3 linked regions of the Cricetulus griseus genome follow. The protein of the gene in region 3 interacts with the protein of the main gene of each other region in a biochemical or structural test. Links are inferred from orthologs where the notes say so. Each region holds a gene or a part of one and is shown on either strand. Other genes may lie near its edges.

Region 1 (2,647 bases), on a different chromosome or scaffold from region 3:
AGATGTAAATCACATTGGACCTTTCTACCCTAACAAACATGAAAACAGACAAAGTACTCCATTCTCATGCATTCTCTAGGAACTACTGGGGAGTCGGGGGCTGTTTGCCTGAGAAGAACACAGGCAAAGAGTCTATCAATTTAATCCCCACCCTTCTCCTGCCTGAGCAACTCACTCTCCCATGAAAGCACATTGCCGTCCCATTTGCCACTGTGATTAAGAACACAGTTCGGGATTCCCGCCCAGAGCAGAGAACCTATTTCAGGATGCAACAACTGCTTGGGAAGTTCTGTATGACTGTTGGTCTGAGGCCCCAGTGAACCTCTTTTTGACGTAAGGCCACTATAGGAAAGCCTGGACGAAAGGACATCTAGACCACTGGTTTTGAGACAGCCAAACTGGCCAACTCCGACCCACCATCGCAGCCTGGGCTTCCATTCAATGTCCCCGCCCTGCACCAATTCCTCCGCAAGCCAAGGAAGCAGAAACTGAGGCAACCGTGGTCTCTAAACCATTTATTTCTCCCGATCGGAAGGTGGGCGTCGCCAGGGGTGGACGAAAACAGAACGCTGCGTGCAGCAAGGCTCCAAGAAACGGCGGCGCAGGTAAGTTAGGCCGGCACTCAAGCGAAGGTGGAGCCGTTCCAGCCCACGTTGGCCGCGCTCATGTCGTAATAATTGATGTAGATCCTGCGAGAATGAAAGCCTAGCTCAGCCTAACACGCGGTCTCGGCGAGCGTGGCGGCGCCCTCTGACCCCCGCGCCCACCTCCCAGCGCCCCTCACCCCACCCCACCCCCACGCACCGGTCCGGGCTGATGTGCAGGCGATCAGCCAGCAGGCCGCACAGCAGCTTGCTGTAGGTGCGGTTCTGCGCGCCGCCGATCTTGCCGATACTATGCAGGCTGCACAGGGCGCAGGGGTCGCTAGAGCCGCTAAAAGTCATGAGCTGGTCCGGGACCACGTGCACTGCGATGTACTGCGGGGGAGGGGTGGACGCGCGGTTAGCCCGCCTGAAAGACCACGGGGCCACAGGGCTCCGGGGAGCTCCAGCCTCCAGCCCTCCAGCCGCCCGCCGCGGTTCCCATCCCCATTCTTCCTCTGCCCGGCGGCCGGGCGCACGGGCCCTCCCTCCCCACTCTCTCTCTTCCTGTACCCTCCCTGCAAACCTGGGCCGGCTTGCCGGTGGCCTGCGCCAGCTGCTGGGTGAGCTCGGAGAGAAGCCCCTCTGGCACGGAGGCGCGGGGAACGTTGGTGTTCACGGTGAACATCGGCATGGTGGCGGAGGGGACTGCAAGCGGGGAGTAGAGGACAGTGCGACGCGGGATGTGGCCCAAGCCAGGGACCTGAGCTACGTGACCTAGTTCAGCACCGCCCCAAACCGGCTGCGGCTCCTCCCCTCGTCCCGCCTCCGCCTGCGTCAGGGTACGTCCTAAAGCGGGGACGTGACTGTGCTTCTGCTACGCTTGGTGTGCTTCTGCTCTTTGTTTTCTCGGATAGAAACGAAGAATGTATCATTTAGTAAATTAGGTAGCAAGGACTTGACTCTAGGATTAAGTTTGTGGAGGCATTTCAGGTAGACGCTGCAGATTAACGGTACACCGGGAGCAGGTTCAGGTCTGAGAAATTTCTGTTTCTGAGGAAACTTCAGCCCTTGATCGGTGCTGTAGGTAGTCATGTTGGCCTTATCTGGCCTGCCAATGGGCCAGAACCGACCGACTCTATTTAACTCCAAATAATGAACCAAAAGCGTGATGGTTTGTGCTTGGAGAAAGAACAATACTTGCCTTAGGAACTTCCTCTAAGCTAGTGAAATTGGCCGAGCCCCATTCCTTACTGTTTTGTACCAACAGTCAGACGTCGGTCCACTGGCTCAGTGCCACCTTCAACACAGCCACTTTCAACTAAGACTTTGTGTGTCCTGGGCCTCCCAGGACGTGTGTCCACACGACCTATGATCCTGCTCATGTAGGTCCTTCCTTGTAGATGGGGAAGGAGGCATAAAGGAGTCACCGTCCAGTTACTTGCCTGCATCCTTGCTGTTCCAACCAAGTGGGGATGCTTGGAGATCTCCAGGGGAGGCACAAGGAACTGGTTTTGAGCCAAAGGTACCAGTTCTGCTCCTCCTTAAGGTATAATCCTAAACTGGGCAACTGTCAGCCCTCAGGGAAGTGCTGCTCAAATTAGGTCCCAGCAATTACCCTCATTAAAGCCCTTGGTAGACTTTGTATAGCTTTCTCATGAACAAGCCAGACATCTGGCAGGTGCCCAGGAAATGTCACTGGGATCTTGGGTCTCCATGTGTTTTCCTAGCTTGCCTTTAAAAAAAAAAAAAAAAAAAAAAAAAAAAAAAAAATCCAACCAGTCAAAAGGATGCTGTGTGGGCAATGACAGTTTTGTCTTGTGACTTCAAGGTTTATATGAGGTTCTATAACGGTTCTGGCAGAAATGAAGATATTCTAAAGAGACACTTGTGTCCCTCCGTTTGGCTACCAGACTATTGAAACAATGGTTCCCAAGGAAATGGAATTTCCTCAGGAGTCTCAGGCTGGGGGAAAAGAAAGACTGAAGGCAGGTGCAGCCAAAGGAGGAACTTGTCTCCCTGGAAGAGATTTCACACAGCTCTGGAAGCTTGTCAGACCACCCTGC
Region 2 (3,958 bases), on a different chromosome or scaffold from region 3:
AACTGCAAAGCACTATTCCAAATAAAAGCCAGATAACAAGAGATGGCAAATGCAAGATTCCTTTTAGATAGAAATGGCAGAGTAACCCAGAGCAGAGTACTGGCTGCCAAGGGAGGAGATGGGGAAGGGATGGCTGCAAGGAGCTGTAGTTCTTTGTCAGGGATGGAAAAAGTCTACATTTTCAGGGGCGGGGGTGGCAAAACAACTGCATATTAGGCCATTAACATTTACTGGAACAAGCATGTTAGTGTAAGCCTGTAACCCCACAGGAAGATTACCTTGAGTTTGGGCAGCCTGGGCTACACAGTGAAACTCTTAAAAAATAAAGCCAGTCAATTCCCCTTACCCCGCTCCCCCCCCAAAAAAAAAACCTACTGGAGCACAAGTTATATGTAAATTACACTTCAAAAAAGCTGATTAAAAAATTATCGGGGCATGGTGGCACATTCAACCATGTGGAAAGCTGAGGCAGGAGGACTGCTGTAAGTTATACATAGGCTGGAATACATAGCAAGTAACTAAGTCAGCCAGCACTGTGTAGCAAGACTCTCACTCAAAGACAAAGTGAGTGGGGTAGAGGTCTGGAGAGATGGCTCAGTGGTTTAGAGTACATGAGGACCTGGGATTGGTTCCCAGTACCTATTTCAAGAGGCTCACAACCACTTACACCCAGGCTCTAGAGGTATCTAATACTTCTGGCCTCCAGGCCTGCCCCCAAACTTCATACCCACATACTTAAAATAATAAAAGTACATTGTCAGGCAGGTGAAGCCCTAATCCCAAAGCTCAGGAGCAAAGGCAGGTGGATCTCTGAGAGTTCAAGGCCACCTGATCTACATAGTGAATTCCAGACCAGCCAGGGCTATACAGTGAGACCCTGTCTAAACAAAATAAAAACCTTAAAAAAACCTTCACCCTCAATACACAATCAACTCACAAACTTAAGACAAAGAACGGACACATGTACCTCACTCTATCACTACAGGTTGGTCGCCCCTCACCCAAAATGCTTGGGACCAGCAGTGTTTTGGATTACAGATTTTTTTTTTCTCCTGGATTTGATACTTGAATATGCATAATGATTTATTTGGGGGAATGAGACTCAGGTCTAAACACAAAATTAATTCATATCTCATATACCCTGAACACAATTTGAAGGTCTGTTTTTATTTTTTTATTTTTACCATTGTGTGTGTGCATGATGCGTTATGTGTGGGTGCTTGTGCCACGGCTTGACTGGAGGCCAAAGGACATCCTCTCTGCAGTCAGTTTTCTTCTACCTTTCTGAGGGTTCTGAGGTTCGACCACTGGTTGCCAAGCTTGTTCGGCAAGAGCTTTACCCACTGAGTCATCTCACTGGCCCTAGCTTGAAGTAATTTTATACAACAGTTTTAGCATACATTGTGTTCTGTCTGAGTCCAGTCAGACGAGGTCAGCCGTGGATCTTTTTTCATGTGAGTGCTAAAAGTTTTGGATTGGGGAAGTTTTGGATCAGGAGTGCTCAACCTGTAACAATTTCCCTTGGGTACTACTGCTTACTTTTCTTTTTGTACTTTCTATAACTTACATAAATTCATTTTGTAACCAGGATAAAACAAACCGGTAAGTTCATGACTTTAGTGTAATTAATTATATATATGCTATATCATTACCTAAAACAGACTATTTAGTGAACATTACTGTATAAAACCACGACAGAAAAGTCTGCCTGAAAAAACAAGATGTACTTTTGGCCTTTTTTTTTTTTTCCTGCTGTAGACACTATCTTTAAATTAAAACTACCAGAATCTGCAAACCTTATTTGCAACAATTAAACCACAGTGTGTGTGGGGGGGGGAGAGACGACGACGACGACGACGACACAAGGATCCTCCTAGCATACTGAGTTTTATGTGTAACAATCTAACGTTCTGATAACACTGGAGATCACTGGAGCCCTGTGGCTCGCAGCCCCCACACCTCCTTTCTCCTGGGGATGGGAAAACTTACACCTAAGCAGCCCGATGTAAGCCTCAACATAGCACTCATCCAGGGCGACCATATACTGAAACACCTGCTGACCGAGGGCTTCGAGGCTTCCTCTAGGGAAGGCTCGGACCGCAGCCTCTCCCCCCATTCCCCCTCCCCCCCGGCAGGCGGGCCTCCCTAGCATCGGCGGCGACCGTGGCTGTGAGAGGAGGAAAACAGCCAGGTGCTCGCAGGCCCTCGCCGCCGCTCACCTGGTACAGCTCCTCCAGGTTGTACCTGATGGATGTGCTGCTCTGGATGGCCTTGACCGCTTCGTGAAGCTTCCGCCACGTGTCCTGAGTGTAGTTGTCAGGCAGCCGCGGCCTGTCTGTGGGGAGAGAGGGTCAACGGCCGCGCGGGGACAAGACAGGCCGGGGCACCGAGGCAGGGCCCAGCAGAGCCAGCCAGGAGGTGCGGGGTCAGGGCCAGCTGGGGCGCGGGGACGTGGCGGAGCATGAGGTGCGGGGACAAGTCAGGCTGGAGCGCCGGAACAGGACAGTGCGGGAACAAGGCGGGCTGGGGCGCGGGGACAGGGCCGGCTGGGCAGCCCCAGGAGGCCCTGTCCGAGCGCGCGACCTGACGGACGCCCCGTTCGCTCCTCACCGGAGCGCACCCACCTCGGAAGTTCTTGATGACCAGCTTCCTGGAGCCGCCCGCGCCCCCCGGCTTGGCAGGGCCACCGGCCAACGCCGCGGGCTTGGTGAGGCCGTTGGTGCGGCCCATGAGAGCCGAGACGCTGCCCTTCCGCGGGCCCTCGTCCGCCATGGCTGGGCCGGACGCCGCCCCGCCCCGCGCCGCCCGGCTCCTCCTCCTGCCCTGCGCCCGGTCCGTGCGCGCCCGGCTCCTCCTCCTCCTGTCGGGCTCCGCCCGTGAGCGCTCGGCTCCTCCTCCTGCTGCTCGCGGCCCGGTCCGCGCGCCCGAGGCCCAACCGCCGCGGCGCGCACCGGAATGATCCGGCTCGGGCGCGCGGACTCCGCCCAGTGAGGGCTCCGGCGTACGCGGCCGCGCCTGGAGGGTTCGGCACCCGCGGACGTTCTACGACGAATGCTCGCGAGAGGGCGCCGTGACACCCCGCACCGAGCGTTCCGGGAGCTTGGTGTTCGACGTCACGACGAGGGCTGGGGACACCCGGGAGACGTGGGCGAACAGGAGCACCCCACCACCCTGCCTCTGGGGCAGCCCCACACCTAGGGCTCAGGGATGCTCCGTGACAACCGGATACTCCACACCCGTTGCTCTGGGATGCCCCAGTGAGGGGGTGGGAGGACTCGGGGACATCTCCAGCGAGGGCTAGGAGAGCACGGGGACGTGTTCCCAAGTGGGGTTGACTTTTGTTCTGTGCACTTGAGGGTGTGCGAGCCGGGAGCGTCTCTGCAAAGTGAGGATCGAAGGGATGAGAGACACGGGGAGTCGCTAGGACACAGGACGTGATCGGGACGCGGGGATACGTTCCCAAGTCGGTTGGAACTCCTCCACGTCAGTCCCCCGTCCTTTGCTCACGCCCCCGCCCGAGCTGAGACACCTCAGTGACTGCACCCCGAGCACTGACAGCTCTAGGAGGGGAGTGCTCGGGCCAGCTTCGTTCAGTTTGCGCCACCGGTTCCGGAATCAAAAACGTGCGGGAAATACAGTGTAGGGACAAGGAGCTGAGACGGACCTGCGCCGGAAGTGAGGTGCTTAACGCCCGCGGCCGCTGCTATGGCGCACATCACCATTAACCAGTACCTACAGCAGGTGGGTTGCCCGGTATCCTTGTTTAGTGGCCACGAGGGTGGGTTCTGGGGCTGGGTCAGATAGGTCCGGGACCGGTGGAGGGGGGAGGTCTGCGGCTGCCTTTGAGGTGAAGAACGTTTGCTGCATGGGGCGGGCAGCAGGCTTTGCTCAAAAGTTGCAAGTGCTTCCCGCCGGATCTGGGACGGAGGAGGATTCGAGGTGGAGGTAGCAGAATCGA
Region 3 (3,500 bases):
CCTGTAGAAGGCACTGAGACCCGAGTAAATGCTCAGGCTGCTGCATATGAGTACATGGCTGCGTACATAGAAAATGCCAAACAGGTAAAAATATTGTTGCTTAAACTTTTAATAACTCGGGCTGGAGAGATGGCTCAGAGGTTAAGAGCACTGACTGCTCTTCCAGAGGTCCTGAGTTCGGTTCCCAGCAACCACATAACCATCCGTTATGAAATCTGGTACCCTCTTCTGGTGTACAGATATACATGGAAGCAGAATGTTGTATACATAATAAATAAATAAGATCTTTAAAAAAAAACTTTAATAACTCTTAAGAATCTCAAGATTCTGGGTTTCTGAACTTAAAAGTGTCCTTTTCACATTCAATTTCATATTTTAAATTTAACAATTTTATGTAAAATATTAAAAGTCTGGTGAGATTTATAATATAGATAGTGGCAGACAGGGGAGAGGGTGTCTTTCTGAAATAAATTTCCAGTCAGTGTCAGTTGTGTTTAGACAATAGAAGTTAGACTGGAGGTGTAACTGGTGGTGGAGCTCATGTCTGCCTTCCTAAGCCCTGAGTTCAAACAAATGAATGGATTAATGAACTAATAAATAAGAAATTTAGGAATTAATTATTCCTCAGTAGAAACCCAGCTAAATAAATGGCAGGGCATCTATTAATGTACTATGTAGGCAAGCTTGAAAAGAAAAAAAGCTCTTTAGGCAGTGGAAGTGAATGCACTGCCTAAAGTCCTAGCACTTGGGAGGCAGCAGCAGGGAGATCTCTGAGTCAAAGCCAACCTGGTCTACAGAGCAAGTTCTGGGACAACCAGGGCTACACAGGAAACCCTGTCTCAAAAAAAAAAAAAAAAAAAAAAAAAAAAAAAAAAGCAACTATCAGGGCTGGAGAGATGGCTCAGTGGTTAAAAGCAAAGACTGCTCTCCCAGAGGATACAGGTTCAGTTCCCAGCACCTGCCTGGCAGCTCGCAACTGTCCAGTTCTAGAGGGCCCAACACCCTCACCCAGATAAAGATGCAGGAAAAACACCAAAATAAAATAAAAATAAATTAGTTTCTTAAAATAAGCTATCTGGACTCTGATGACACCCTATGGAAGGCCTCACCATCCAGGGGAAACAGAAAGGTTGGAGGAGGTTGGTAGGGGAGGACAGGAGGGAGAGGGAACTGGGATTGTCATGTAAGACAATCTTGTTTCTAATTCAAATAAAATCTGAAAAAAAAATTATATAATACCTCAAAAAAAGCTATCTGTGTATTTACTTACATGGAACAGTTCCAGAATTGTTTGTTCAGTTTAAAATATAGGTAGCTAGGAGTAGAATGTTGTATGTAGTATGCAACTATTTACAGATATGTTTGTTAATCTATAGAATATCTCTGTAAGAGTACGTAAGATAATAGAGGGATAATATCTAAGCTAAGAAACAGGTAGAGGAGGGGGAAGGATATGGGAAAGAGACTAAATACCCTTGTTCTTGTACCTTGATAATTTTACACTGTACACATGTATCATCTATTCAGAAAATCTTTACACGATGTTATCTTTATGTAGTGTTACTACATAAAGCCTGTAAATGACACTTTCTGTGAGATTAAACCATACCTCAAACAAGATTTTTCTTTCATATTTTAGGTTGGACGCCTTGAAAACGCAATTGGCTGGTATCATAGCCACCCTGGTTACGGCTGCTGGCTCTCTGGAATTGATGTTAGTACACAGATGCTTAACCAGCAGTTCCAGGAACCATTTGTGGCTGTGGTGGTAAGTACTTGTTCTTTTTAAAGAAATGGGGTCTCACCAGGCATTGGTGGCACACGCCTTTAATCCCAGCACTCGGGAGGCAGAGGCAGGCAGATCTCTGTGAGTTCAAGGCCAGCCTGGTCTCCAGAGCAAGTGCCAGGATAGGCTCCGAAGCTACACAGAGAAACCCTGTCTCGAAAACCAAAAAGAAAAGAAAAGAAAAAAAGAAATGGGGTCTCTGCTTTTGCAAAGGACCCTGATTTGATTCCTGTCACCCCCCACAGAGGCTGGCAACCATCTGTAACTCCAGTTCAGGGTATTTGATGCCCCTCCTCTATATGCACCACATATGGCTGGTGTCGATGGAGGCCACAAGAGGGCATTGGGTCCCCTAGAACTCCTGGAGTTAGAGGTGGTTGGAGGCCACTATGTGAGTGCTGGGAACCAAACATAGGTCTCTCTGCTAAAGCAGCAAGTACCCCTAACTGCTGAGCTATCTCTCCAGCCCTTCAAAATTTGGTTTTGGATTTAACTTTATTTAATTTTTGTTGTTCTGGGCACAGGTCTCTCTGTTATGCATCTCTGACTGTCCTGGAACTGGATGTGTAGACTAGGCTGGCCTGGAACTCCTGGAGATCCACCTGCCTCTGCCTCCTCAGTGCTGAGATTAAAGGCATACCCACCACACCCGGCTTACTTTGTTTTTGTTTTTGTTTTTTGTTTGTTTTTCAAGACAGGATTTCTCTGTAGGTTTTGGAGACTGTCCTGGAACTTTCTTTGAAGACCAGGCTGGCCTCAAACTCACAGAGAACCTCCTGTCTCTGCCTCCCAAGTGCTAGCATACCCACCACAGCCCAGCTTTTTGTTTTGTTTTGTTTTGTTTTTTATAAAAACAGATTTTATTAAGTTTTTCAAGAATATTTGCTAAAGAAAGACTACTGGAAAATTAAAACAGTGTGGTAAGAATGACTCTCTGGCATCACTGTACTTAAGGATGTTCTTAAGCTCCTTGCATCTCTCACTCCTATAGATGAGGGTAGAACCTTTGTCAGCTTCTCAACACTTAATAGGCATTTAATTAGGGTTGACTGGAGAAGCAGAAATGGCTAGATCCTGTCTACTTTTATGTCCAGAATGTTTTAGATGCAATCTAGGATCTTTAAGAGGAAACTAACAATTATTCATCTATTAAAGGGGTCAGGTAGGGGCAGGTAGTTTCTCAGTTAATTCATTACTTTGATTGATTGATTGATTGATTGATTAATTGACTGATTGGGTTTCTTGTTTGTTTTGGCTTGGTGGTTTTGGTTTTTCAAGACAGGGCTTTTCTCTGTAACCCTGGCTGTCCTGGAACTCACTCTTTAGACCAGGTGGCTGGCCTTGAATTCAGAGATCCACCGCGTCTGCTTCCCAAGTGCTGAGCTTAAAGGCCTGTGCCCAGTTTGTTTTAAAACATGGTCTTGCCAAGTAGCATGAATATCTTAATGATACTAAATAAATATTCTTTGGTGATATGATAACTTAATTCTAATCTATAAATTAACTGAAGTATTCCTATTTCATTGAACTTTCTAATTTTGGTTAGTATATAGTGCTATATTTACTTTGTTGTAGTTTTCTGGGGTGTTGACTCAGTGAGCATATGGTTTGTTTGATCAATATTAAGTATATATCTTTTGTAGATTGACCCAACCAGAACAATATCTGCAGGAAAAGTGAATCTTGGCGCCTTTAGGACATATCCAAAGGTAAT

The links.
Region 1: the proteins of Cops5 (region 3) and Mif form a complex in vitro, tested with the Homo sapiens proteins (2 studies listed by BioGRID). The link is inferred for Cricetulus griseus from reciprocal best matches to the Homo sapiens genes COPS5 and MIF.
Region 2: of the proteins of Cops5 (region 3) and Cul4a, one has a biochemical effect on the other in vitro, tested with the Homo sapiens proteins (5 studies listed by BioGRID, with this or other methods). The link is inferred for Cricetulus griseus from reciprocal best matches to the Homo sapiens genes COPS5 and CUL4A.

The regions. Positions count from the first base shown.
Region 1 is NW_023276806.1:262,751,160-262,753,806, reverse strand, and holds Mif (macrophage migration inhibitory factor), read right to left. Parts: upstream 1,379-2,647; 5' UTR 1,276-1,378; coding exon 1,168-1,275; intron 978-1,167; coding exon 805-977; intron 690-804; coding exon 623-689; 3' UTR 501-622; downstream 1-500.
Region 2 is NW_023276807.1:67,672,686-67,676,643, forward strand, and holds the start of Cul4a (cullin-4A), read right to left. Parts: upstream 2,801-3,958; 5' UTR 2,773-2,800; coding exon 2,625-2,772; intron 2,336-2,624; coding exon 2,220-2,335; intron 1-2,219. Other genes in the region: Pcid2 (PCI domain-containing protein 2), read left to right, coding at 3,706-3,741. UniProt on the Homo sapiens protein: Core component of multiple cullin-RING-based E3 ubiquitin-protein ligase complexes which mediate the ubiquitination of target proteins. As a scaffold protein may contribute to catalysis through positioning of the substrate and the ubiquitin-conjugating enzyme.
Region 3 is NC_048595.1:150,146,014-150,149,513, forward strand, and holds part of Cops5 (COP9 signalosome complex subunit 5), read left to right. Parts: coding exon 1-84; intron 85-1,639; coding exon 1,640-1,768; intron 1,769-3,429; coding exon 3,430-3,495; intron 3,496-3,500. UniProt on the Homo sapiens protein: Probable protease subunit of the COP9 signalosome complex (CSN), a complex involved in various cellular and developmental processes.